2 linked regions of the Lonchura striata genome follow. The protein of the gene in region 2 purifies or fractionates together with the protein of the main gene of each other region. This does not show direct contact. Links are inferred from orthologs where the notes say so. Each region holds a gene or a part of one and is shown on either strand. Other genes may lie near its edges.

What was found. Proteins that work in one complex are often made in the same cells at the same time.
Region 1: the proteins of NSF (region 2) and STX6 purify together in Homo sapiens (affinity purification with mass spectrometry; 3 studies listed by BioGRID and IntAct, with this or other methods). This does not show direct contact. The link is inferred for Lonchura striata from reciprocal best matches to the Homo sapiens genes NSF and STX6.

Annotation. Positions count from the first base shown.
Region 1 is NC_134611.1:2,046,981-2,054,303, reverse strand, and holds the start of STX6 (syntaxin-6), read right to left. Parts: upstream 3,001-7,323; 5' UTR 2,953-3,000; coding exon 2,918-2,952; intron 613-2,917; coding exon 443-612; coding exon of another isoform or gene 429-442; intron 1-428. UniProt on the Homo sapiens protein: SNARE promoting movement of transport vesicles to target membranes. Targets endosomes to the trans-Golgi network, and may therefore function in retrograde trafficking.
Region 2 is NC_134627.1:3,022,708-3,029,718, forward strand, and holds the start of NSF (vesicle-fusing ATPase), read left to right. Parts: upstream 1-3,935; 5' UTR 3,936-4,001; coding exon 4,002-4,013; intron 4,014-7,011.

The DNA.
Region 1 (7,323 bases), on a different chromosome or scaffold from region 2:
GAACTGCAGGCTGGATGGAAAAGGAGACATGGCAGGAATGTGCTGTGAAGCACACACACAAGGTTTCTCTTTTCCATGTGGTTTTTTGGTTCTGTGATGCTGGGCAGTGTTTTCAGGAGCACTCAGAGGAGCACGAGGGACAAGGAGTATTTCTGGAAGGCAGCCTAGAAAATGAACTGAGCCTGCAGAAATGCAGATTCACACAACACAACAGGCTTTCTAAAACAAAGCCTCTTAGAATATACCTTGCAAAAAGGGAGACAAAAAGACAAAAGGAAAATCCTTTACTTAATTTCTCATTTGCAATTTGAGAAAAGCCAATGTGAATGCAAAATTCAATCCCAAACAGTCCTGATTTTTGCAGAGGAACAAGCACTGGGACTTTGCTATTTAGTACAACCTGAGAACTGCAACTACCTCCAAAGGGCCAAAAAAAGGATATTAATGGTTTCATCCAGGTCTTCCAGGTCCCACTCGATGCTTCGCAGGTTGTTCCTGAGCTCATTAGTAGTCCAGTCGATTTCTTCTCTTGTGGCAATGGAGGGATCTTGCAAGAGCTCTGTCCACCTCTGGAAGAGCCCCTGGGCAGTGTTCACAGCTTTCTGCACCTCCCTGCAGGTGAGTGAAGAGAAGCCAAGAATTATCACTAGCTGCCCTGCAGCAGTGACACTGGGACAGCCCCGTGTCCAGCTGAGCAGGAATGCCACAGCTTCCTCCCAAACACCCCTCCTTCCAACAACTGCGTGTTTATTTTGTAAAATAAAGATCTGCCCTGAATCTCACTGCAGCATGAAGTTATTCATGAAGGGACCTATTTCTTCAGGGGAAGCTGCTGAGTGTCACCCAGGCAAGCCAGGGCAGAGGGTCTGAACAAGGCAGCTCTTTGGCAATCCACACTTTGCATTCCTCTCTCTACAGTTTTCCTCTCAAGGCCCTTAAGTACCCATGTAAGATACCCCAAGGGCACACAGAATTACAGGAACTGTCCCCGCAGCACAGCCAGGCAGACTGTTGAATGCAGAACTGTTTATTTTAATTCAGCATTTAAAAAAAATACACAGGCCTACTACGCTGGCTTAGGAAACACAAGTTTTTTCTGCTGCTCTAAGCTCTTTTGGAGACGAATGCATTCACAGCGGGGGAAGGCACTGCTGACACATCTGGTTTGGGGCAAGCAGGTTTGTAAATTTGGGTCACAGACTCTCAGTGTGGCTATGTGCATTTACAAACTCTGCGGTCCCAAGCTCTGAACTGCTCCCCCAGGTTCACCGGGGAGATCAGATGATGTGCTGGTGTCCAAGGAGGCCACCATGAGCTTGCACACAGCAGTCAGGTGTTTCACCCCAGTGAAGGAAAGCAGGGGAGGCCCAGGGCAGATGAACTGACGTGCCAGGACTGCACCTCTGTAAGTTCCACCAGGGCCTGATCCAGCTGGTCCTCCAGTTGCTGTCTAAGCTGCAGTTTCTCAGCACTCTGATGCATGTCCCTCCTCTTCTCACACGCCTACAGCTCCGAGTCTGCCACTCTGAGTGCCCTAAAGCCAGCAGCCTGCACTGAGGATCTGGAAAAATTCATTCCCTCCTCTACTTGCCAGCACAAGTTTTGATTTTATTTGGCTGGGTTTGTTTTTCCCCACACTTGTGGAAGTCCCCAGCAGCAAGAATGTAAAGCAGAGCTGGGTGTCCTCTGATGGGAGGAGTTACAGACACCAGAAAAGCAAACTAGTAGCAATTCTGGTGGCTACACCACCGGCAGCCCCTCCGACCTGCCAGGTAATAATTAACTGTGGGAGCGGCAGCACATCCCCTTCCCCCTCCCTGCCCTTCCCCACCGCTGCAGGAACATCTCTGGAAAGTTTGACAGGACGTTTGCTCCCCACCCATGGCGACTCCTACACTTTCCTCTAAGCACGAGTTTATCCTGGTGAAGGGATTCATTTTCCCTGGCTGTACCAATATCCATTCCCACACTTCTTCTCACATGGCTCTCCCAAAACACCCCACCAGGAGCCCCTCTGCTGCTCCTTGGGGCTGTCTCGCTGTGACAAGGGGCAGGAGAGCAGCCCCCAGCACAAGCTGAAGGTGGCCCGAGGGCAGTGTTCAGTGATGGAGCTGCTTTCACAGAATCACAGAATTGCTGGTGCTCTGTGGGTCATCCAGTCCAAACCCCCTGTCATTCACTGTCACCTAGAGCAGGGATACCTCCAGATGGGTTTGGAATGTCTGCAGCAAACTCCATGAAGCCTTTTCCAGTGCTCTGCCACCCTCACTGGAAAGAAGTTCTTCCTCACCTTGAGGTGGAACTTCTTGAATTTCAGTTTATGGCCTGTTGCTGTAAAGGGTCTGGCACCATCCTCATAACACGCCTTAGAGACATTTGTATGGAGTGATGAGATCCCCTCTGTCTTCTCTGGGCTAAACAGGCCCAGCTCGTCTAGTGTCTCCTCACCAGAGAGATGCTCCAGACCCCAAATCATCTAGGTGGCCTCCACTGGACCCTCTGCAGTAGCTCCAACACAGCTCCTTTCACCCTATTAATGACAATTTTCCTTCGGCTGGTATTTCCCTGCGTTCAGGCTCTTCGCTGCAGGCTTCCTCTCACGGCCATTGTTTATCCCACAGCTCGCTCCCTGCTCCCTGCACCTTTCCCACTGTCCCCAAGCCGCACCTGCAGCCAGGCCCGGGCCCAGGCCTCACGGCAGCGCCCCCGCACCGGCGAACAGGCCCCGGACCGGCGCGGAGCCCTCACAGCCCGGGGGCCGCCGCCATCTTCCCCCCCTCACAGACCCCCGCCGCCGCTCGCCCCCGCTCCGCCGGCCTCCCGAGCCTCGCCGCGGCCCTGCCCGCCCCCTCCGCGCCGCCGGCGGGTTACGCGTCCCCGCGGCCGCGTCCCGGCGGGCGCGGGGCGCGGGGCTCACCCCTTCACCACGAAGAAGGGGTCCTCCATCGACATGGCGCTGCCGCCGCCGCGCGCCTCGGCCGCCGCCAGGCCCCGCCCGGCCCGGCCCCGCCCGCCCGCGCCCTCCGCCAGCCCCGCCCGCCGGGGGCGTGGCCGGGTGACGTCAGCGCGCACGGCGCCGCGGGGCGGGAGCGCTGAGGGGGCGGGAGCGCTGAGGGGGCGGGAGCGCTGAGGGGGCGGGAGCGCTGAGGGAGCGGGAGCGCTGAGGGAGCGGGGGCGCTGAGGGGCCGCGGCTTCGTCCCGGTGCTGCCCGGGCAGTCCCGCAGCTCCTCCCGTAGCTCCTCCCGCAGTGCCCCCTGTCCCTCCCACCTGAAGGAACCCAGGCCTGGTTCAGGAGTTACATGTGGTGGAAAAGTCTCTCTTCCAACCCGTGCTTCCAAAGAAAACTCAGCAGTCTCTGCTGTCCGGTCTCAAGGCAGTTTATTGCGAGTTATCTAAAAGATTTTCTTCTCTGCTGCTGTGGTTTGCTCAGAGCTCAGGCAGAGGCACACACACACCCTGACATCCTCTCTGACTCCCGACTGCTTCTTCTCTCCCCGCCCAGGGCTGCTGCTCTCGTTTATATGGTACATTGCGTGTGACATGTTTACAATTTTTCCCAATGCCCATTACCTATATTAAATGGTGATTTTCTATCTTTTATATGGTACATTACATGTTACATGGTTACAGTTTTCCCCCAATGCCTATTACCTGTATTAAATGGTGCTTTTCTATCTTTTATATGGTACATTACATGTTACATGGTTACAGTTTTCCCCCAATGCCTATTACCTGTATTAAATGGTGCTTTTCTATCTTTTATATGGTACATTACGTGTTACATGCTTACAGTTTTTCCCCAATGCCTATTACCTATATTAAATGGTGCTTTTCTACTCTAAACCAATCTGAGAGTGCCAACATCACCAAGAACATGGAGGTAAGGAAGAAGAAAGAGGAGGAAAAGGACCGGCCTGCATTCCTCCATCTTAAAACCTCTGACCCCCATGTACAGAACAAAAAACCCCCATGTACAGGTGTTAAAACCCGCTTGTACAATACTAAAAAATTCTCCCCTCTACTTTATAACCACTTCTACTATAACATTTAAACTTTCGTGACTTCTTGTTCTTCCTGCAAGGTTGGTAACTCATTCCATGGCTCAAACCCAAAATCACAGCTGTTTCCAGCTGCCTGCCAGGGTCTCAAATGCTTCTGACCGGGGCCTGGAACCTCCAAAAATGTCTGAGGGACATTTTGAGTTCCCACAGCCACCCAGCGCATCACGCCCAGCATGGCTCAGGGTGGAAGGGAACTCGGCGGTGCCGCCTCCCTTCTCACCCCCGAGCACGTGGCACGGGTTGTGTCCCCATGGACCTCTCTGGGCCATCTGTTCCATTGCCCTGAAACGTAAATTTTAAGGGGTTTAGAGATTTTAGAGGAGCTAAGATTTTAGTTAGAGATAAGCCCTACTAGAGTTAATTAAAATAAATGAGTAGGCCTTGATGAAGTTAAGAGTTAGCAGTTGACTAATAATTGATTGCTTGTCAGCACAATGTTGTCGCCCTGATTTTTAAGATTTTCTTAAGCCTTCTGAGTTTACATTCTGTTAGAGAACTTTCTCACACAACTTTCTGCAAACAACCTATTGTTTTGCATTCCTTCACAGAGGTGGAGAAACTTGATGTACTGGTAGTTTGTCCAATGTCATTGGAGAGGTGGCACCTTCACCCTCCAATCCACTGTCACCTTTGGAAAAGTATAAATGCTGGAGTCAGAAAATAAACTTCCTCTTTTTCACCTTTGCAATAGCAGCGACTCGCATCGTGCTTTTACGTGTCCTATAGTGACACAATGTTTAGTTAGCTGGGTTTATAATGAAGAATACAGAGACTGACAAACAGCTTTTAGGAACATAAGACAATTGTGGGCCTCGTCTGTTCTGAAACCAATTGAAGACAAGGAATGGGAGTTCTACCAAGATTCATTTGTCATATTTGCATTGAAAAGGTAGAAAGGTCAGAAGGAGGAAGACTTCATTGACTTCCTCATTTTGGGACCCCTCCCCATGAAAGGGACACCGACCCATTTCAAGGGACAAACCACGCGTGCTGAATGGCTTTTGGAGTGATTAGCATACAAAGCGAGGAATGGGATGTACCAAAATGATGAATATGTATTTGTATTTTGTGTATTCAATACTTGTATGGATAAAAAGGCTCTGTAACCACCTGGAAGGTGCAGTGTGGATTTGGGAGCGATCCCGCACAAAATAAACACACACCTTTAACTTTATACTGTTAGAGAGTTTTTGTCCTTGACTGTTGGATATCAGTACTAGATCAATATCCACATTTTTTTAATAAATCAGCCCTGTGAAAAATGCATATTATATGGCTCTATGCAGATAGCTGCTATATGTATTACGCTATATTGATTAGTTGTGCTTTTGTAGTTAATATGAAGACTTTAGGAGTTAAAAAAAAATAAAGACTCTGTATGTGGGGGGGAAGGTTTTTTCTGGTTTTTTCTTTTTTTTTTTAGGAATGAGACACTCACTTCGAGGAACACCTAAATCTTCCAAAGGAGAGGAATTTATGGCTTTTTATCAGAAGAAACTAATTTCTTCAGGCCTTGTTCAGAACCAAAGATGCCAGGGGGATTAAAGGAAACATACGTCAGAGTTTCTTGCTTAGAATAGAATGTATGCATAACCATGAAGGATGTATGAATATGCAACAAGTGTATTGGTTTAAGGGTGATTCCCTTGTTCACAAGACTTAGTGTCCGAGAGCATCTGGACGTTGTCGTAATTCTTTGCTTTTTATTGTCTTGTAATTGTCCTGACTCTAAACTTTATTACTCTAATTGCATTACTATTTTTATAACCATTTTATTATTAAACTTTTAAAATTTTTAAAAACCAAGTGATTGGCATTTTTCACAGCCTGGTTACTCCTACAGTGACAGAGCTTCCTTCTGTTCATGTGGAACTTGCTGAACATCGGTTCCTGCCCCTTTCCTCCTGTGTCCTGATGGTTGGCACCACCGAGCGGAGTCTGGCTCCATCTTCTTGGCAGCCCTTCCTTAGAGCCCAGAGGTGCACACAGCACCCCAAAAATGCTCTCATCAGGGCTGAATAGGGCTGCAGGATTGCTGAGTCCAACACTTCTCTCAGCAGCCCTATAATGACAGAGGTGGTTACACGTTCCTGTGTTCCCCTTGCCACAATGGTCCACAGTCCTTAGCACCAGCGAGACCATGCAGAAGGTGGTGTGTGTGCCATTCTTTGGGTTATATGGATTAAAGATAATAATTTTTTTATTTTGGAGAACTAAAAGCAGCCTGCTCAGTGCAGAGAGGAAGTGAGGTAAGGTGTTCGAGCACCATCTTCTCACACACCTGCAGTTAGCAGCAGTGTTGTTCATGTCCGGCTCCTCTGTTGGGAAGGAATTTTGTGCTTTATGCTAAAGCCAGGAGACTAAACCCCTTCCTTCTCACAAGATTTGCAGTCTTTCAAACCTCATATAAACCAGCCAGCTGGCCTCCTTCACCCGGTTTCACAGAGCAAAACCTTGGCACTGTGGGGCCCTGTCCCTGGCACGGGGTGCCCGGCAGGAGTGGCCCAGGCAGGCTGTGTTCCCAGGCAGTGAGGGAGGAAGCAGGAGGGAGTGACAGGCAGCCTGCTCGGCTCCTGCTGCCCTTCCTGCCCTGCAGAGGCACAGGCACGGCTTCCTTCCTCCCCTTCTGTGGGGTGAGAACAGCCCTGTGTCGCTTGGATGCTGTCCATGCCCGGGTGGGGATCCCTCATTCCCACCTCTCTCAAATCTCTGGGCTCTTTAGGAGCTGAGCACAGGTAGCCCTGGGCTTGCAGCAGCTGGCAGGAGAGGGATGGTGCCTGCAGAGCTCTGGGAGATGTCCCCATCCACATACACACAGCCTTACTCCCACGTGAGTTGATTTTGCAGAGGCTTGGCCAGGAGGAATCCCCCAAATTTTAAGCAAAGAGCACATCCTGGCCTGTGCTTCCCAAAGGTGGCAGTGGCCCAGCATCCCGAGCAAAGGCAGGGAATGGGCACAAACCCCATTTGCAGTGGTGCCTCCTCAGCATGGGAACAGGAGAGCCAGCTTTTGCAATCCCAGCAGCTTTCCTCACGCTCAGCCTGGGGTGGGAAGGCTGCGGCACACGTTGAACCGGTTCCTGCATTTCTTGGGCTCAGAAATCCACCTCCTGCTCCGGCCAGCCCCACACCAGGAGTGCTGCAACAGGTGGCAGCTTTAGGGCTGGCATTTGCTGGCCCTTCCTTGCTGAATTTGGGATGACTTTCCCACGCTGGCAGGATTTGGGGCGTCCCTGCCAAAGGTGTGCTTAGCGTGGGAGGT
Region 2 (7,011 bases):
CATACACCTTCATGGTTATGCATACATTCTATTCTAAACAAGAAACTCTGTTGTATGTCAACTGTTTTCTTTAATCTCCTGGCGTCTTCGATTCTGAGCAAGGCCTAAAGAAATTAGTTTCTTCTGATAAGAAGCCATAAATTCCTCTCCTTTGGAAGATTTAGGTGTTCCTCGAAGTGAGTATATCATCCTAAAAAAAGAAAAAGACCTTCCCCCCCATATACAGAGTCTCTATATATATATTTTTTTTTTAACTACAAAAGTCTTCATTTTAACTACAACAGCACAACTAACCAATATAACATAATACATATAGTAACTATCTGCTTAGAGCCATATAATATGCATTTTTCACAGGAGGGCAGCAGGGAGAGCCTGGGCAGCCAGGTCTGCCCAGCCCCTTCCTAAACCCACCCAGGGACTGCAGACACAGAGGTTCTGTCTGCTGGAAGCCAGAGGATTCACTCCAGGAGATGAGGGGGTTGTCAGTTGTGAGAACCCCGGGCTTGGTCTGGGGTCTCATGTGGTGGTAAAGTCTTTCCTCCAACCCGTGCTTCCAAAGAAAGACTCCTCTTATTGTTCGGTCTCAAGGCAGTTTATTGTAAGAAATCGAAAAGATTGTTTTTGTGGGCTGTGGCTGTTTGGTCAGCGACCCAGGCAGAGACACACACCCTGACACCCTCTCTGTCTGCTGTCTTCTTCTTCTCCCTGCCCAGGGCTGCTGCTAGCTTTTATATGATATATTATGTATAATATGTGTACAGTTTTCCCCCAATACCTACTACTGATATTAAATGGTGCTTTTATACTCGAAACCAATCTGTGAGTGCCAACATCACCAAGAACATGGAGGCAAGGAAGAAGAAGGAGGAAGAAAAGGATCAGCCCACTTTCCTCCATCTTAGAACTTCTGACTGCCATGTACAAAGTAAAACCCCCCTGTACATGTGCTAAAACCCCCCTGTACAATACAAAAAAAAATTCCCCTCTGTTTTGTAACTACTTTTACTATACTATCTAACCCTTTGTGACTGCTTGTTCCACCTTCAAAGTTGGTAACTCATTCCATGGCTCAAACTCAAAATCACAGCTGTTTCCAGCTGCCCACCAGGGTCTAAAATGCTTCTGACCAAGGCCTGGAACCTCCAAAAATGTCTGAGGGACATTTTGAGTTCAAACAGTCAGTGAAAGTCTTGGTTCCAGAGCATGTCCCAGACCCCAGTTCCATCTGCTGCTCCCTGCCCCATGGAAGGGCTGTGGGGCAGAGCTGTGGGGCAGGGATTTGGAGCTGGCTCTGGAGCAGCCAGGTGTGGGCTGCAGTTCCTGCAGAGGAGTCGGTGTGATCTTTGTGCTTGGTTTGGGGGAGCTTTGCTTTGTTTTTCTCCCCCTTTTGAAATGGTGAAAAGGGGGGAAGCACGGCCACTGCCTCACTGTCCCACTCAGCTACTCCCTACTAATTAATACATTGTATTTTCTGTATTTCTTCTGCAAGAGACTCCCTTAAGGCCACAGAGCAGAGATCTAGGAAGCTGAGAGCAGTGAGGATACCCTCCAAAACTCATCATTGAGCCAGAGCTCACTGCTGGGCTGAGCCTCCTATCTGGGCGCCTTTCCAGCTGTGCAGGACAACGGTGTCAGCCTTGTCACCTGTCGGGGTCTGGCTGCTGCACCCCGAAGCACAGGGCTTGTTTGCAATATTTAACAACCACTTCCCAGTGCTGAGATTTCTGTCAGGGACAGTAAAAGTGCTCAGCTGCAGGCAGGGACAACAGGGTTTCACTGCAGGAAATGGATCCTTGCCCTGCTGGTATCAGCCCATGGCAGATTTAGGCACTGACCCCATTTCTTCTTCTCCTTAGGCCTGTGCTGTGCACTGAGGCACATCCACAGTCTGGGGCACCGACCACTTTGGCCAGTGTGATGAAATCTCCTTGGTGCCACTTTTCCATGGACCTGGCAATCCCAGCTGACTCTGGTACCTGTTCAAGGCAGTAACCAGCAGTTACAATCAGTATTAATATTTTACGGTGCTGTCAAAACCCACACAGGAAGCTGCTGGGACAGGCTGCTAATGTGTTAAAGCTCCCAGGATGTTTGGGTTGGTTTTACAGACACTACCGAGCTTTGGGGTCGGAGTGTTTGGCATCCCCTCCCTCAGAACACAAACACAGCTGGGATTTCATCTCTGGCTGAGCACCACACAGGGGGATGAGCTCTGTGAAGGAGCCATTGTCACCTCTCAGCACCACTCCTCCAGCGTCATCTGCTTCTCCAGAGCAAAGCACAATTCCAAGCAAATCCCACATGGATCCCCATCCCGGAGCCTGGCTGGAAGATCTGGGCGCTCGGGCAGGACCCGGCTGTGCAGGAGCAGATCCTGTGTGGTGGCCATGGGCTGGAGGAGCCCCGAGCCCCGTCCCCCAGTGTCCTAGGGTGACCTTATGGTGTTTGTATCTCCAATCCTGTGTTCTGTTTATGTCTGATATTATGTTCTGTGCTTTCAGAACTGACTCTGAAAGTGAAGGTTTGTTTTGCCTTGTTGTCAGCCAGTTCACCTCCCTCCATGGTCTGCTGTCTAGAAAAGGCTGGTGCTGGCTTGCTTGCTTGCTTGCTTTGCTTGCTTCTGCTTTTGCCTTTGCTTCCTAGTTAGTTTAGCTAAGCAGTCCAATTCTTTCCCTGGACTGTTTCCTTTCCTTTCCTTTCCTTTTCCTGAATAGCATCCAACCTGCTCCGGACTGGGACCTGGAAACACTGAGGAGCACCCAGAGCCTGCATTTTGTGATCTGCAGCAGCCATCCCCAGTGAAGGAGAGCAATCCCCAGCGTCCAGACCTGGGCAACCACGCCCAGGAAAGACTCTCTGGATTTGTTCATCTCTTCAGAGTGGTGAGTTTTGTTGTCATCTGGTGTTGTTATTTTCTTTGGTGCTGGGGAGTGCTTTGTTTGTTAAATAAACAGGTTCTTTTCCACTTCTCTCAGAGAAATTTGTTTTTCCCGAATCAGGTAGGTGGGGAGGGGCTGTGGGGGTCTGTTTTCTGGGGGCTCCTTCCAGAGGGTTTTCCCCAAATTTGCCCTAAACTAGGACACCCAGGAATGAGCCACGGCTGGCTGTGACACCTGCAAGGGGTTTGGGCAGCTCTGAGCTCCCACACAACCATTAGTGTCAGCCAAACGGGAAGTCCCGTCGGGGGAACAGTTAAGCCATTACATGTCATCCAAGGAGACCACGATGCGATGCCTGGTTTACAAGCGCTGCTGTGCGGCCTCTTTGGAGCAGGAGCAGAACCAAAGCCAGATTAAAAATGAAATTAAAACAGAATTAAATTTTTAAAAATTATGTGAAAAAAAATTTAAATTCGTATTGTTTTATTATATAGAAAAAGACAACATCCTATAATTAATATTATACAATATGCTATACAATAGATAATGTAATTATCATTAAGATATAAATATTACTACAAAATTATGAACAATTATTATAAATATTATTAATTAATCAAAACCACATAAAAATATAAATAAATAAATAATTCAGCAGGGGTTGCCGGCGGCCCGGCCCCGCTCACCCTCACACCACGGGGCCGGGAGGGGCCGGGAGGGGCCGGGAGGGGCCGGGAGGGGCCGGGAGGAGCCGGGAGCAGCCGGGCCCGCTCCGGGCCGCCATCGCATTCCCGGCCGGGCGCTCCCGTGTCCATCCCCGGCCCCGCCATCCCCGGAACCCCGGCCCCGCCCACCCCGCCCTCCCGACCAATCCCCGCAGCGCTCCCGATGACTGACAGCACAACGTCCTGCCCCTCACCGCCAGGCCGATGGGCGGGGCGTTCCGTGACGCAACCCTCAGTGCCTTGAGCGGCGGGCGGACTGACCAATGGGAATGCGTATTCGCGCAGGGGGCGTGGCCTCCCCGCCCTCGAGGCCCCGCCCCGGCGCGGCGCGGCGCCTGCGCTGCACCGCCCCCTGGCGGCCGCGGGGAGGGCCGTCGGTCGGCGCTGCGGCAACATGGCGGGGCGGGTAAGTGGGGGGGACCCGGCCGGCCGCTATCGCCATCCCCTGCCCCCTCCTCCGCTCCGCTCCTCCCTGCCCCGCGGCTTTGCGAGCTTCTCGCGTTCCCGCTGCCGGGAGGCCTTTCAGCCCCGGGGGTCCCCCGGCAGCGCTGTGAGGCTGTGGTGACCCCCTCGCCCCCGGCGGTGTGGGGGGTCCTGACGGGCCTGTGGGGCTGTGGAGACGCCCCCGGTGTGTGGGGGGCTGGCGGTGACCCCTCTCCCGGTGTGCCCTCTCCCGGTGTTCCCCGGGGCTTTCTGGAGGCTGAGGTGGCCTCTTGGTGATGTGGCATGTGGGACAGGACTGGGTTCCTTCAGGAGCCGGGCAAGGGTGACCCGTCTCCTTGTGGGGCAGGATTTTAGGGTCCCCCAGGGGTGCTGTGGGACCCGGGTGGCCCCTTGGCAGCGTGGGGTTTGGGACAGGACTGGGGCTTCCCTCAGGAGCAGGGTGACCCCTCTCCATGTGGGTGTGAGGCAGCATTTAGGGTTCCCTCAGGGTGCCGTGAGGTTGTAGTGGCCTTGTGGGGTGCAGAGCTGAATTTTGGGGTTTCCTGGAGGTGCTCAGAGGCTGTGGTGACCCCTTGTGCTGTGGGATGAGCATCCGGGGCTCCCTCAGGAGTTGGGGTGCCGCCTGTCCCTGTGGTGAGGGGCAGGACTGTGGGGTGCCCTGGGGGTGCAGTGAAGCCCCGGGTGTCTCGGTGCTGCTGTCAGGATTTGGGGTGCCCGGGGTGCTGTGAAGCTCTGAGACCCCTCTCCCTGTGGGCTGTGGGCAGGGACCTTTAGGGATGCTGTGACAGGGGTGATCCCTTGGTGCTCTGGGATGTGGGGCAGAATTGTGGGATTCCCTGTGGGTCCGGAGTGCCCCTGTCTCCATGGGGTGTGCAGCAAGATTTTAGGGTCCCCTAAAGGTGCTGTGAGGTTATGGTGACCCCTTGGTGCTGTGGGATACAGGGAGATTTTCTCATTTGAGAATCAGCCAGGTGCTGTTTTATAATGTGAGTCCACCTTTTGTTGTGTGGAAACATCTTAAAAGGTTGTGCAGTGTTTTTGTTCTGTATTAATTTAAAAAAATCAAAAAATCCCTTATTAGTGATAGATCACATCAGCTAGTGGCCAGAAAGGCTTTAAAAGGTGAAGGAACAGCCTTGACTGTGAAATCCCTTCTTGTGGTGCCTGCACATCCCCTCCTTTGCAGGTGTCCAGGTGCTGCAGGATGTGTTTGGATTGCTCTGCTCTTTGCCAGGAGCTCAGTCATGCTTTGCTGGGTATCAGCCTGGGAAAATCACATTTTTCATTCATGCTTGCCTCTGGCTGGAATCTTGTCTCTAGGCCAAGTCATTTGGTGGTTGAAATGCTGGGGAATTGGTTTTCCAAGTGCTTTTTGCACTGTGCTGGGCTGTGGATGGAGGGCAGCTGGTGCAGTGCTGTGGTGCAGAGCAGAGGTGAGAAATCTGGCCTGGTGACGTGCCATGCATCACAGGTGCTCCACTGCCACCCCTGAAATGTGCTGAGTAATTGAGAAAAACCCCAGACAGACCCATTTTGTGGTCTGTCTCTCATTAAGAGTGTTTCCTCTGTCCCTGCTCCAGATTCCTGGTCTCACCTTCTTCCTTGCACCTTCTTTTCATCTCACCTTTGCACTTAGCCAGGGAAATCTGTGAGCCTTGACTGGCTTTTTTCAGCGTCCTGTTGCCCAGAACAGGAGCCCAGTCTCTGGTCAGTGGTGAGAACCTTTCACCCACACTGGACGTGGTTCTGAGGCTCCCTGGGCCTAACCCAACCTGGCTGCAGTGCCCCTGAGCCCTCCCAGCTGTGTGCTCAGGGAACACCCTGGTGCATGCTGAGTGCTGGGAGTTGGGACTGGGGATGTGGGGAGAAAGGAGAGGGATCAACCTCTACTTTATTCTTCAGCTTTGAGCTTTTCTGCTACTAAAAAATGTGAGACAAATGTGCCTTTTTTTTGACCAGCCTGGGAGCCTGGTGAAGGAAAGGGGGATTTATGTGAATCTAAAAGAAAGATTGCTGCTTAGCTGCCTCCTAGTCTGGCAATTGGATGAGTGATGCTCTCCTTGGGTTATCAGGAAGCTTCTTAGTATTCAGTGTTGTCATGATTTGCCTACAAATGCAGTTGTTGCAGAATTATCAGGTTGTTTAATGCTGCAGAGAGAATCCCCTAGCTGAGTGTTCCATCTCACTCTCCAAGCTAGCTCTGATGCTTCGAATGCTTTCCACGTGAGCTACCAAGGGAGCTGCCTGCTCCTTCCAGCTGGCCCGTGGGCCAGCAGAGTGCTGGGGAGGGTGGGCAGCAGGGGGGGCAGGAGCAGCACCCCAGAGCTGTGTCAGGTAAACACGGAACACTCGGTGGGAGGATGGAGGTGTGTGATATCTCCAGGCACAACAGGTGAGGCTGATGCTGGAACACAGGTGCTGTTCTGTTGTCAGCATTTTTAACAGGTGCTTCAACCTACAAGATGGGAAGAGGAGCTTCAGTGACTCCTCCTGCCCTGCAAATCTGTTCTGCAATGCCATTTAGATCTTATTCTCTTTTACTGGACTGGTGTGATTTGATTTTTGCAGTACATTCTCACAGGGAGAAATGAATGGCTGTCCTGATGTATGAGAGAGACAAAATATTTAAACTTCTAGTAACATTTTGAATAATTCAGGTGAATGATAAGCTAAATCTGGTTGTGTGATGCTGTTTCAGGTGTGTTACTCTGCTCCCCTAATTGCACTGGGTCTCTCCACAGCAAGGAAGAGATGGTGATTAGCAGTGATTGAAGTTTACAGGAAAAACAGTTTATGATGATTAGAAATAATGGCTGTTTCTGTAATAATTTATTCTGCAGCTCTGCATGGGGATCATTAGGCAGAGCAGTGAGGCACCTGCAGGAGAGGGAATGGTGGGAAGCTGCTGTGTCTGTAGCTGGTTGTGGACCTCTTGTACTGAGTGGAGCCCTGGAAGTTCA